Caenorhabditis elegans: one gene and its partner. The protein of the gene in region 1 interacts with the protein of each later gene in a biochemical or structural test. Each region holds a gene or a part of one and is shown in the gene's direction. Other genes may lie near its edges. The genes, in order: glh-1 and mip-1.

Region 1 (5,467 bases):
CTGGACTTCCAGAAATGAGAGCTGGATTATGTATTGGAGGAGTCCCAATTGGCGAACAAGCTAAAGACGTTAGAGAGTGAGTGATTAGAATTTCGAATTTTATGATTTTCATTATTTTCAGTGGTATTCATATTGTTGTTGCGACACCAGGACGACTATCTGATATGCTTACCAAGAAAATTATAAATTTAGAAGTAAGACATAACTTCAAAGATTTCAAAAATTGCTTCAATTTATTACAGGTTTGCCGTTACTTAGTTCTAGATGAAGCTGATCGAATGCTTGATATGGGATTTGAAGATGAAATTAAATCAATTTTCTATTTCTTCAAAGCTCAACGGCAAACTCTCCTTTTCTCGGCTACGATGCCACGAAAGATTCAATTTTTCGCAAAATCAGCACTGGTCAAACCTATTGTAAGTTTTATTTATGCAATCGAGAAGTTTCAAAAATATAATTTTTTAACCTACTCCCAAAAGTTGTCATTCTTCAATTCTTAAAGAATAATTTTTCAGGAGTTTGTCTGTAAATTATAAATATTTTAGGTCGTAAATGTTGGACGTGCGGGTGCTGCTTCATTGAACGTACTCCAGGAGCTTGAGTTTGTTCGATCAGAAAACAAATTGGTTCGTGTACTTGAATGCCTTCAAAAGACTTCTCCCAAGTAAGATTTTATTTATCAGAAAATAATTAATTTAGAAATATGGCAACGGTTTTATATTTCAGAGTTTTGATTTTTGCCGAAAAGAAAGTTGACGTTGACAATATCTACGAGTACTTGCTTGTAAAAGGAGTTGAAGTTGCTTCAATTCACGGAGGAAAAGATCAAAGTGACCGTCATGCTGGAATTGAGGCATTCCGAAAAAATGAGAAAGATGTACTTGTGGCAACAGATGTTGCATCAAAAGGACTCGATTTCCAAGGAATTGAACATGTTATCAATTTTGACATGCCTGAAGATATTGAGAACTATGGTGAATTTCTTATTTATTTTTCATAATTGAATTTTTATTTTCAGTTCATCGAATTGGTCGTACCGGACGTTCCGGACGGAAAGGTCTCGCAACGACATTTATCAACAAAAAATCGGAGATGTCAGTGCTTTCCGACTTGAAACAATTACTCGCAGAAGCAGGGCAGGAACTTCCAGAATTTCTCAAAATGTTGGCTGGTGACGAGGAGGGAACTGCTCCAGCTGGCACAAATGCGGAAAAGGTAGTTAGAAAACATTTAGAAAATCGGGAAGTTCAACATGTTTTCAGGGATGCGCATACTGCTCCGGTCTGGGTCATCGCATCACAGATTGTCCAAAACTCGCTGGAATCGGAAACAAAACGACGCAAGCATTGGCAAGAGGTGGAGGCGACGATGGTGGTTTCTGATTATTTTATTCATACATTGTATCTCAATCTATTTATTTACTGTTTTCTTGTTTACATTTATAAAAATATTTGTCAGAATTGTACTATTTATTTCATGTTTAAAAAAAGTCTGGATTTCCGAGAAAACATGAAAATAATTAATTGATCGAGTTCATTGAAAAAGAAAAATGAATTAAATGCATTCTCAAAATTCTTTTTTTTAAAGGAGACACCACGGTTTCAAGATCTGATGGGAGTCCGGATCTACGTTTTCCGGATCTACCATTTCCGGATCTACGTTTTCCGGATCTACGTTTTCCGGATCTGGCACCGTGCAAACTCTTAAAACGCTATTTTTTCGAAGAAAAAAGTGACAACGACGCTCCGATGTTACGCGTCGCGTGTTGTTAAGCGTTTCTTCTAGAAGAAAATTTCGAAAAAAGTCGTGCGTTGAAAAGCGTTTTGTGCGTTGGCACGGTGCCAGATCCGGAAAACGTAGATCCGGAAAACGTAGATCCGGAAAACGTAGATCCGGAAATGGTAGATCCGGAAAACGTAGATCCGGAATCCCATCAGATCTTGAAACCGTGGTGCCTCTTAAAGAGTCGATTCTTTAAAGGAACACAGACTTTCACACCGTTTAGGTTTCGCCACGCGCCCCAACTACAGTAACCTCGACACACTCATCTACTAAATTTTGGGACAGTTCCTAATTCTTTTTGCTGTTTTCAACTCAATTTTCTGGAAAAATCTTAATTTTCTGCGAAAATGTCTGATGGTTGGAGTGATAGCGAAAGTGCTGCTAAGGGTGAGTTTTATTTTGAACTTTCCACCGGTTTTATTTTGATTAAAAACTTTATTTCAGCCAAAACTGGATTCGGTAGTGGAGGCGGTTTCGGTGGTGGTAACAATGGAGGATCTGGGTTTGGTGGTGGTAAAAATGGAGGTACTGGATTCGGTGGAGGAAACACTGGCGGATCTGGATTCGGTGGAGGAAACACTGGCGGATCTGGATTCGGTGGAGGAAAGACTGGCGGTTCTGGATTTGGAGGTGGAAATACTTGTGGATCCGGCTTCGGTGGAGGCAGTACAGGAGGATCGCCGTATGGAGGAGCCAGTTCTGGATTCGGTGGTAGTACTGCCACATCTGGATTTGGAAGCGGTGAAAAATCAAGTGCATTTGGAGGATCAGGTGGCTTTGGAGGTAGTGCAACTGGATTCGGAAGTGGAGGAGGATCCTTTGGAGGTGGCAACTCTGGTTTTGGGGAAGGAGGACATGGCGGCGGAGAGAGAAACAATAGTTCGTTTTTTAAATTGACTTTATATAATTACGTTTGTTTCAGATTGTTTCAATTGCCAACAGCCAGGACATCGATCGAGTGACTGTCCAGAGCCGAGAAAGGAAAGAGAGCCGAGAGGTTTTATTTTGATATAACTTTATTGGCAGTAATTTGTTTTATTTTCAGTGTGCTACAATTGCCAGCAACCCGGGCACACCTCTCGTGAATGTACAGAAGAACGCAAGCCGCGTGAGGGTCGCACTGGTGGATTCGGGGGCGGAGCTGGATTTGGAAACAATGGAGGAAATGACGGTTTCGGTGGGGACGGTGGTTTTGGTGGAGGCGAAGAACGTGGTCCAATGAAATGTTTCAACTGTAAAGGCGAGGGACATCGCTCTGCTGAATGTCCGGAGCCACCCCGTGGATGTTTCAATTGTGGCGAGCAAGGTCATCGCTCGAATGAGTGCCCCAATCCAGCCAAGCCAAGGGAAGGTGTTGAAGGAGAAGGACCTAAGGCGACATACGTGCCAGTCGAAGACAACATGGAGGACGTTTTCAACATGCAGAAAATTTCGGAAGGCCTTATGTTCAACAAGTTTTTCGATGCCGAAGTTAAACTGACTTCATCCGAGAAGACTGTCGGTATCAAACCTTGCAAGACATTCGCGGAAGCTAATCTCACGGAGACCATGCAGAAAAACGTTGCTCATGCTGGATACTCCAAGACCACTCCAATTCAGCAATATGCTCTTCCACTTGTTCATCAGGGATATGATATCATGGCTTGTGCTCAAACTGGATCAGGAAAAACCGCTGCATTCCTTCTGCCTATCATGACTCGTCTCATTGACGATAATAATCTGAACACTGCCGGAGAAGGCGGTTGCTATCCCCGTTGCATCATCTTGACTCCAACTCGCGAACTCGCTGATCAAATTTACAACGAGGGAAGAAAGTTTGCTTATCAAACAATGATGGAGATCAAACCAGTTTACGGAGGATTGGCTGTCGGTTATAATAAGGGTCAGATCGAAAAGGGAGCCACGATCATTGTCGGAACTGTCGGAAGAATCAAGCACTTCTGTGAAGAGGGTACCATCAAGCTTGACAAATGCCGCTTCTTTGTTCTTGACGAGGCTGATCGTATGATCGATGCTATGGGATTCGGAACTGACATCGAAACTATTGTCAATTATGACAGTATGCCGAGGAAAGAAAATCGCCAGACACTCATGTTCAGTGCCACTTTCCCCGATTCTGTACAGGAAGCAGCTCGCGCTTTTCTCAGAGAAAACTACGTGATGATTGCAATCGACAAGATTGGAGCTGCAAACAAGTGCGTCCTACAGGAATTCGAGAGATGCGAAAGAAGCGAGAAGAAGGACAAACTTCTAGAGCTTCTGGGAATCGATATCGACAGTTACACGACCGAGAAAAGTGAGTTTTTCGTTTTCTTATTTGATGAAATAAATTTCAATATTTCAGGTGCCGAAGTTTACACAAAGAAAACCATGGTCTTCGTTTCTCAAAGAGCAATGGCTGATACACTGGCTTCAATTTTGTCATCGGCTCAAGTTCCAGCTATCACGGTTGGTATATTTCATTTTTGACCGCTTTTTAATTCAAAATGTACAGATCCATGGTGCCCGTGAGCAGAGAGAGCGTTCAGAAGCTTTGAGACAATTCCGAAATGGATCGAAACCTGTTCTTATTGCTACTGCGGTCGCTGAACGTGGACTTGATATCAAAGGAGTGGATCATGTCATCAACTATGACATGCCAGACAACATTGATGACTATATCCATCGTATCGGAAGGTCAGTTATATTTTATTAATGTTTCAATAATGCAAGCATTGTTTTCAGAACTGGAAGAGTTGGAAACTCTGGAAGAGCTACAAGCTTCATCTCGGAGGATTGCAGTCTTCTGTCCGAACTTGTTGGTGTTCTCGCCGACGCACAACAGATTGTTCCAGACTGGATGCAAGGTGCTGCTGGAGGCAATTACGGAGCTAGTGGATTTGGGTCCAGTGTACCAACTCAAGTCCCTCAAGATGAAGAAGGCTGGTAGAAAACCGACCAATTGATAGTGTTTCGCATTTATTAATGCTGTCAGTTCCCCCATATTTTATCCTGCCCTTGTTGATTTTTAATTGTATTTGTTGGTGTTGGTTGTCGTTATAGTCCTCGCCGCATAAACTCTGTTCAATATCATGCTGTTCACGACTTCAACTATTAGTTGCATATTAAATGAAAAGAATTTTAACAAGCAAACTAGGCAATATGATCTCATATCACATTGCTCTCTCAGCTAATCAACTTCAATAATTTGTTTTCCGATTCTCCGCGGCGAGCATTTTTCCGCATACAGAAACTTTAGGCTCAATTCTTTATTTATTTTCTTTTTTGCTCTTCTCTCACTCGCTCATTTCCGGTCGATTTACATTCGTTTTTTCGCTTTCCTCTCACCTGCTTTTTTGCTCCCGTATTTTTTCTGTTGGCTTTGCCATTCCATTTACGGTTTGCTCAGTGATCACAATCAGGAAATAGAGTTTGAGAAGAAGAGTATTAGGGAAAAGAGGAAGAGATGATGCTTAGTTTCTGTTTCGCTGTGGCATTTCCTGTGTGCTTGTCTATCAATTTCTTCAAATATATTTTTAGTAATACTGTAGTAAGGTGTATTCTCAGTAGCACGTGGTGGGGTCCCACTGCGAGAGGGGTACTGTAACATACAATTTTTTGCGAAAATGTTTTCAGCTCCTATCTGCAAGTCGTCATCTCATTTTTTCTTAAATAAGTGCACATTTTCTATTCCGTTTCGTTTATT
Region 2 (4,970 bases), on another chromosome or scaffold:
CTCTCGTGATTTCTTTAAAAATTTAGTTCAATATTTCCAGAGAAATACTCGATCCGCATCAGCCCAGAAGACAGTGGCAGCAAATAAATCTGTTTTGGAGTCTGAAATTCCAAGTCGTTCAGCGTCACGAAGAACTCGCTCCACATCGCTTAGGAATGATACTGTTGCCGAACCAGATGAGACGTCGGTTGCGATGACAACTCGGCGTCGGACTCGGGCAACTTCTGAGGTTGTTAGCAAGCAGTCGTCTGAAGATGATGGAAGATCGACACCAAAAACCGGAAGAACTCCCACGAAAAAGGCTGCAGCTAGTACATCTTCTAGTAGAGCTGGAAGTGTAACTGTACGTTGTTTAATCGTTTAATCATACAACTATTCGAACATTTTCAGCGCGGTAAAAAATCGATCATCCAAAAGATGCCATCCCCGCTAGAGGTTACAATGGAAGTTCAAGAAGAAGAAGAAGAAGAAGCGGAGGAGGAACGGCCTGCATCAAGAAGCACTCGCTCTGCATCTGTCAAAAATACAACTGTTGACCCATCGTCATCTGCACTTGCTTCTACCAAACGTACAACTTCTAGAAAGAGGGGCAATTCGGAAACGATCGACTTTAATCAGGACGACAAATCGGCACCGACGACGCCAAAAAGAGGAAGACCCGCCAAAAAGGATGCAGGATCTCCTAAAGTTGGAAGTAAAGCTGTAAGCATTTTTAATTATTTTTTTGAATTAAAAATGTTGTATTCATAAATTGTAAATTGATTTGTTTTCGTTTCAGCGTGGCACCAAGCCTAAATCGATATTCGAAAATCAAGAAGATGAAGAAGATCGTTCATCCTCTCCAGATATCGAACAACCAGCCACACCTACACGGTCTTCCAAACGAACGGCTAGATCCAGAGCAAATTCCGAATCGATCGATGATGATAGCAAGCAGAAGACCCCAAAAAAGAAAAATGCCGCGGTTAATGAAGCTGGTACCAGTAAACAGTCTAGAAGTGTGACGGTATGATCCCAAAACATAATTTTTTTTCAAAATTATTATTTTCAGAGATCTCGAGCATCATCTATTGATGTACAACAAGAGGTGGAAGAGCCAACCACTCCAAAACGCGGAAGAGGAAGACCGCCCAAAACCGTTCTGGAAAATATTGAAGAGGGTGAAGAAGAGAGAAAAGAAACGGCTGCGGTAATATTTTCAGCAATACGATTTCTCAAACGAGGTGTTTTATTTTCAGACTCCTCTACTGCGTTCAGCTCGCCGTGCTAAACAATAGAGGTCGAACACAGCTCAAATTTTAACTATTTGTCCTTATTTATTTTATTATTTGAAATTCTTCAACTGACACATGTGAAATAAGTTCCAATAAAATTGTTTGGCATTAACATTGAATTGGAAATAAAGCAATAAAGGTGCATAGAACGGAGAGTTCAGGATGGCGTTATAGTTTTTAAATTTCAAGCAACAAATTCGATAATTTAATTTTAACTGGAAAATGTGAACGATTGTTCCTAGCATGCGAAACAGGTGTTTATACCACATTTAAAAAATTTCCAAAACGAAGCTCTGCAGAATTTTTTCTAATTTCTCGTGGTAATGATGAATTATTATTTAATTTTGTTTTTTAATGCACCAATAAAACGTTTTTTCGTGTAGAAAAAAGACGGCATTGTTAAATATATTCTTCACTGCAAAAATCCAATTTTATAAAAACTAATTTAAATCTTTCGAAAGGTTACTGTAACAGTCATTTGCGTGTGCATTTCTACGCAATATGTGGCGCCAAAAGGCTTGTCCTAAAATTCGGCTACCCATTCTAAATAAAATGATTCTTCGCAGTTGTTCTCTGTTAACAGCTTGTTTTTTTTATGTTTTGATGATATTTTCATGTTAAAATAATAATTTTAACGTTGTTCATAGACGTTAGCATGTAAGGACGATCTTGACGTATTGTAAACATCTGTAAAATTAGTTATCCGTGCATCAGACTGGGTCTGAGTCTTTTTTACAATTTACTGTAACATTTTTGTATCTTTTTCACGTTAATACTTGATCAAATTGTAAAATGTTCTCTCAGAAGTGACATTCACTTGGCAAATGACGGAAGCTGACGATCCCAAGAAGAAAATACGCGCGCGCATCGAGCGCGACGTGTACAGTGTTCTGCTATCATTCCAGGAAGGAGCGACCCCAAATCAAGTAGAAAGGAGAATGGAGTTTGTGTTTCGCGGCATTATTTCTCAAATTTAATGTATTAACTATTTAGCGACACGCTTGGCTACACATATGTTGGAAAATATGTACAGGCTGGTGTGAGAGATATGGCTCAACTTCTGCGAGAGCACAAAGATGTACGACAAAATTTATCCGGAGTTTTCAGTGTTGTGTGAGAAATATATATTGCTCTTATTCGAGTCAAAACTCAATACATTCGTTTTCAGCGCAAATGAGGACAATCAAGACCTAATCAATCTGATCTCAAAGCAGAAGAAAAAAAAGAAAGGTGGAAAAGGTGCAAAGCCCATTCGTGCAGCTACGTCTATGGGATTCCATAATAAAAGTGGATTCGGATATGCAGCTCACTTGCGCTCACCGAAACCCTCATTTATGTATCCAGCTTCATCTGCCAGAGCGAACCCGGCAAAGGTTCAAATTGAAAAAAAAAAACTATGTTCAAGATTAACATAATAATATTGCAGCCACAAGCAACTGGGTATCGCAATACCGTTCGACACCCACCTGTCCGCCCTTCCACTGCAACTGGTCACTCTAGTTTCGCAAATAGATCAGCTTATTCACATCATACAACGAGAAGCACCACTGTTGGTCCGGTCAAAATTGCTCCTAGTGCGACTGCTCAGCGTCCTCTTTTACGTCAACCTGTAACCGTTGTTCAAAGACTGTCGTCTACAGTGGCTGTTCCAGTTTTGCAACCCGGGATTGACTCGAAGTGTATGCCTTCGATCGTTGATTTTTCGAACAACGTTAAGCGCATGATGCTTCTGGAATATCCTGCTGATGTCCATGTAAATTTTTTTCAACATTTGCAAATTGCAACTGATTTTTCATATTACAGCTCTCTGAATTGACCGAAATCTACGATAAGCATTTCGATGTATCAATTGATCCACTCCAGTTGTTTAGCAAGAGCTGGATGATGTTCGTGAAGACTTCATTCAAAGAATGGCTGCAACTCGGAACAGACGGTCGAGTTGAAGTGAAGGAACCCTGGTTCACAAATTTTGGAGCTGCGTTAAAGAAATCAATGCCACCTGCTCCTGAAAAGAAGAAACCAACGACACTGCATGAGCCCACTTCAAGTGTCGCATCATCGAGCTTACCGATTTCACAAGGATTTCGGTATCAAATACCAGTTGTTCGTCCGATAGTGTCTGTCGCAGAAAGTATGAAAGGTATTTACATTTGAAAATAATTAGTAGATTGTAATATTTTATTTTAGGACTCACAGTGAGTGCCCGTAGCGTAATGGGAACTCCAAAAGATCTTCCTGGTGTGTCTAACCCGATTAAAAACACAGCTCGGGGAAGTAATAAGCCTCGAAATGGTAAATCCAGAAGTTTCCATTAAAAAAAACTAATAATTTTTATTCATCAGATCTGGCATCTTCGAAAGCGAGTAAGGATCTTGTTGTTCCTGTGATGAAAACTACGTGTATCAAATCACTTGAAGATACTTCTACCAGTAGTTCGAATCCTTCAACATTGCAATTATCTACTGCCTCTACCTCTGCAACAGATCAGAAACTGCCAAAAATGAGCTTTGGAAGACAGATAGAAAAAGGATCGTCGATTCCAGGGAGACATATATCTCTTGCTCTCACGGAAATTAAAAACCAAAAAGTTATTGTGAGTAATTTTCTTGCTAGATTCCATTAATTATAATATACCAAGTGCGGTATCGTTCCGTTTTCGGATCAAGACTAGCTTTTTGTTGTTTTATTGCTAAAATACTGCAATTTTTATGTTCATTAAAACAAAAACAATATTTTTAACTATGCTAGAAAATACCATGCCGACTGTGATGAATAAGCTAAATGAATTTCAGGCGGCTTCTATTGTTGGAAAGAGTGCCAAAACTTCTACAAAAGTGCCATCCACGACTAGAAGTGTAGTTCTCCCACCAATGTCAAAAGGACCAGGATTGGCACGTTCTCGTAACTTTTCACCACAACAATCGACTACATCTTCAATTGATAATGAGTGTCTAGAAGCTATCAATGCTGCGTTGCCGTCGGATAAGGATAGTTGGTGATCGAAATTTTACGTGCTTTAAAATATCCTGTTTATGTGTTTTTGTAAAATTATTTTTTAATTAGTTTTAATAGTAACATTGTTTTTTTTATATTTTGGATGCGAGTCATTCACGAATTTTACTATAAATTTTTTTTCCGGTGCATTCTATTCTTGTTTCGCATAATTAAGAAAAATGTGTTCTGAAACATGAAAAAATATTTGTTAGCTTAAATAGCGTGACCCCTTTAGATGCAAAATTGTAGAGTAGCTGTGAGAGCTCTTCCGACGGGCCACTCAAATAATTGAAAGCGAAATGCAGTTTCTCTTTTTCTCTTCCCCAATGCATTCAGTTTCCTATTTCTCTGCCATGTCAAGATTGGCATCAAACGATGTTCGAATATGGGGGAAAACTGGGGCGGTCGGCTTGTGCACACAGACAGACCCATAAAACATGAATTTATTATTCTACGCGCACGCAAAACGTGGCACTATAGAGACTAAGAAACTGCAGGAAATTCGTTTTGAAGATGAGATAACATCAACGAACGGTGTAAAACATAGAGACAAAAAGTGCTCTGGATAACGACGCGCTATATAAGATTGACCCTTAAGGGTAAAAGAATTCTTATCCAAAAATGTTCTCCAATATTGATTTTTAAGAGAATATTATATTTCTATGCTGTCTAGTGAATAGTTTTTCAATTTGGCACATTATT

The links.
Region 2: the proteins of glh-1 (region 1) and mip-1 form a complex in vitro, tested with the Caenorhabditis elegans proteins (one study listed by BioGRID).

The regions. Positions count from the first base shown.
Region 1 is NC_003279.8:6,852,683-6,858,149, forward strand, and holds glh-1 (ATP-dependent RNA helicase glh-1), read left to right. Parts: upstream 1-1,795; 5' UTR 1,796-2,129; coding exon 2,130-2,169; intron 2,170-2,226; coding exon 2,227-2,661; intron 2,662-2,704; coding exon 2,705-2,779; intron 2,780-2,827; coding exon 2,828-4,078; intron 4,079-4,126; coding exon 4,127-4,230; intron 4,231-4,276; coding exon 4,277-4,458; intron 4,459-4,506; coding exon 4,507-4,711; 3' UTR 4,712-4,854; downstream 4,855-5,467. Other genes in the region: sacy-1 (RNA helicase), read left to right, coding at 1-76, 122-194, 243-416, 546-664, 727-974, 1,019-1,215, 1,263-1,382. UniProt on the Caenorhabditis elegans protein: Probable ATP-binding RNA helicase. May act redundantly with the P-granule component glh-4 to regulate the formation of the granular structure of P-granules in embryos. Plays a role in positively regulating the localization of pgl-1 to P-granules.
Region 2 is NC_003281.10:4,791,008-4,795,977, forward strand, and holds mip-1 (HTH OST-type domain-containing protein), read left to right. Parts: upstream 1-2,078; 5' UTR 2,079-2,098; coding exon 2,099-2,217; intron 2,218-2,267; coding exon 2,268-2,387; intron 2,388-2,442; coding exon 2,443-2,647; intron 2,648-2,700; coding exon 2,701-3,027; intron 3,028-3,077; coding exon 3,078-3,414; intron 3,415-3,461; coding exon 3,462-3,566; intron 3,567-3,616; coding exon 3,617-3,867; intron 3,868-4,066; coding exon 4,067-4,273; 3' UTR 4,274-4,416; downstream 4,417-4,970. Other genes in the region: Protein mel-28, read left to right, coding at 41-343, 391-702, 779-1,006, 1,052-1,189, 1,239-1,277.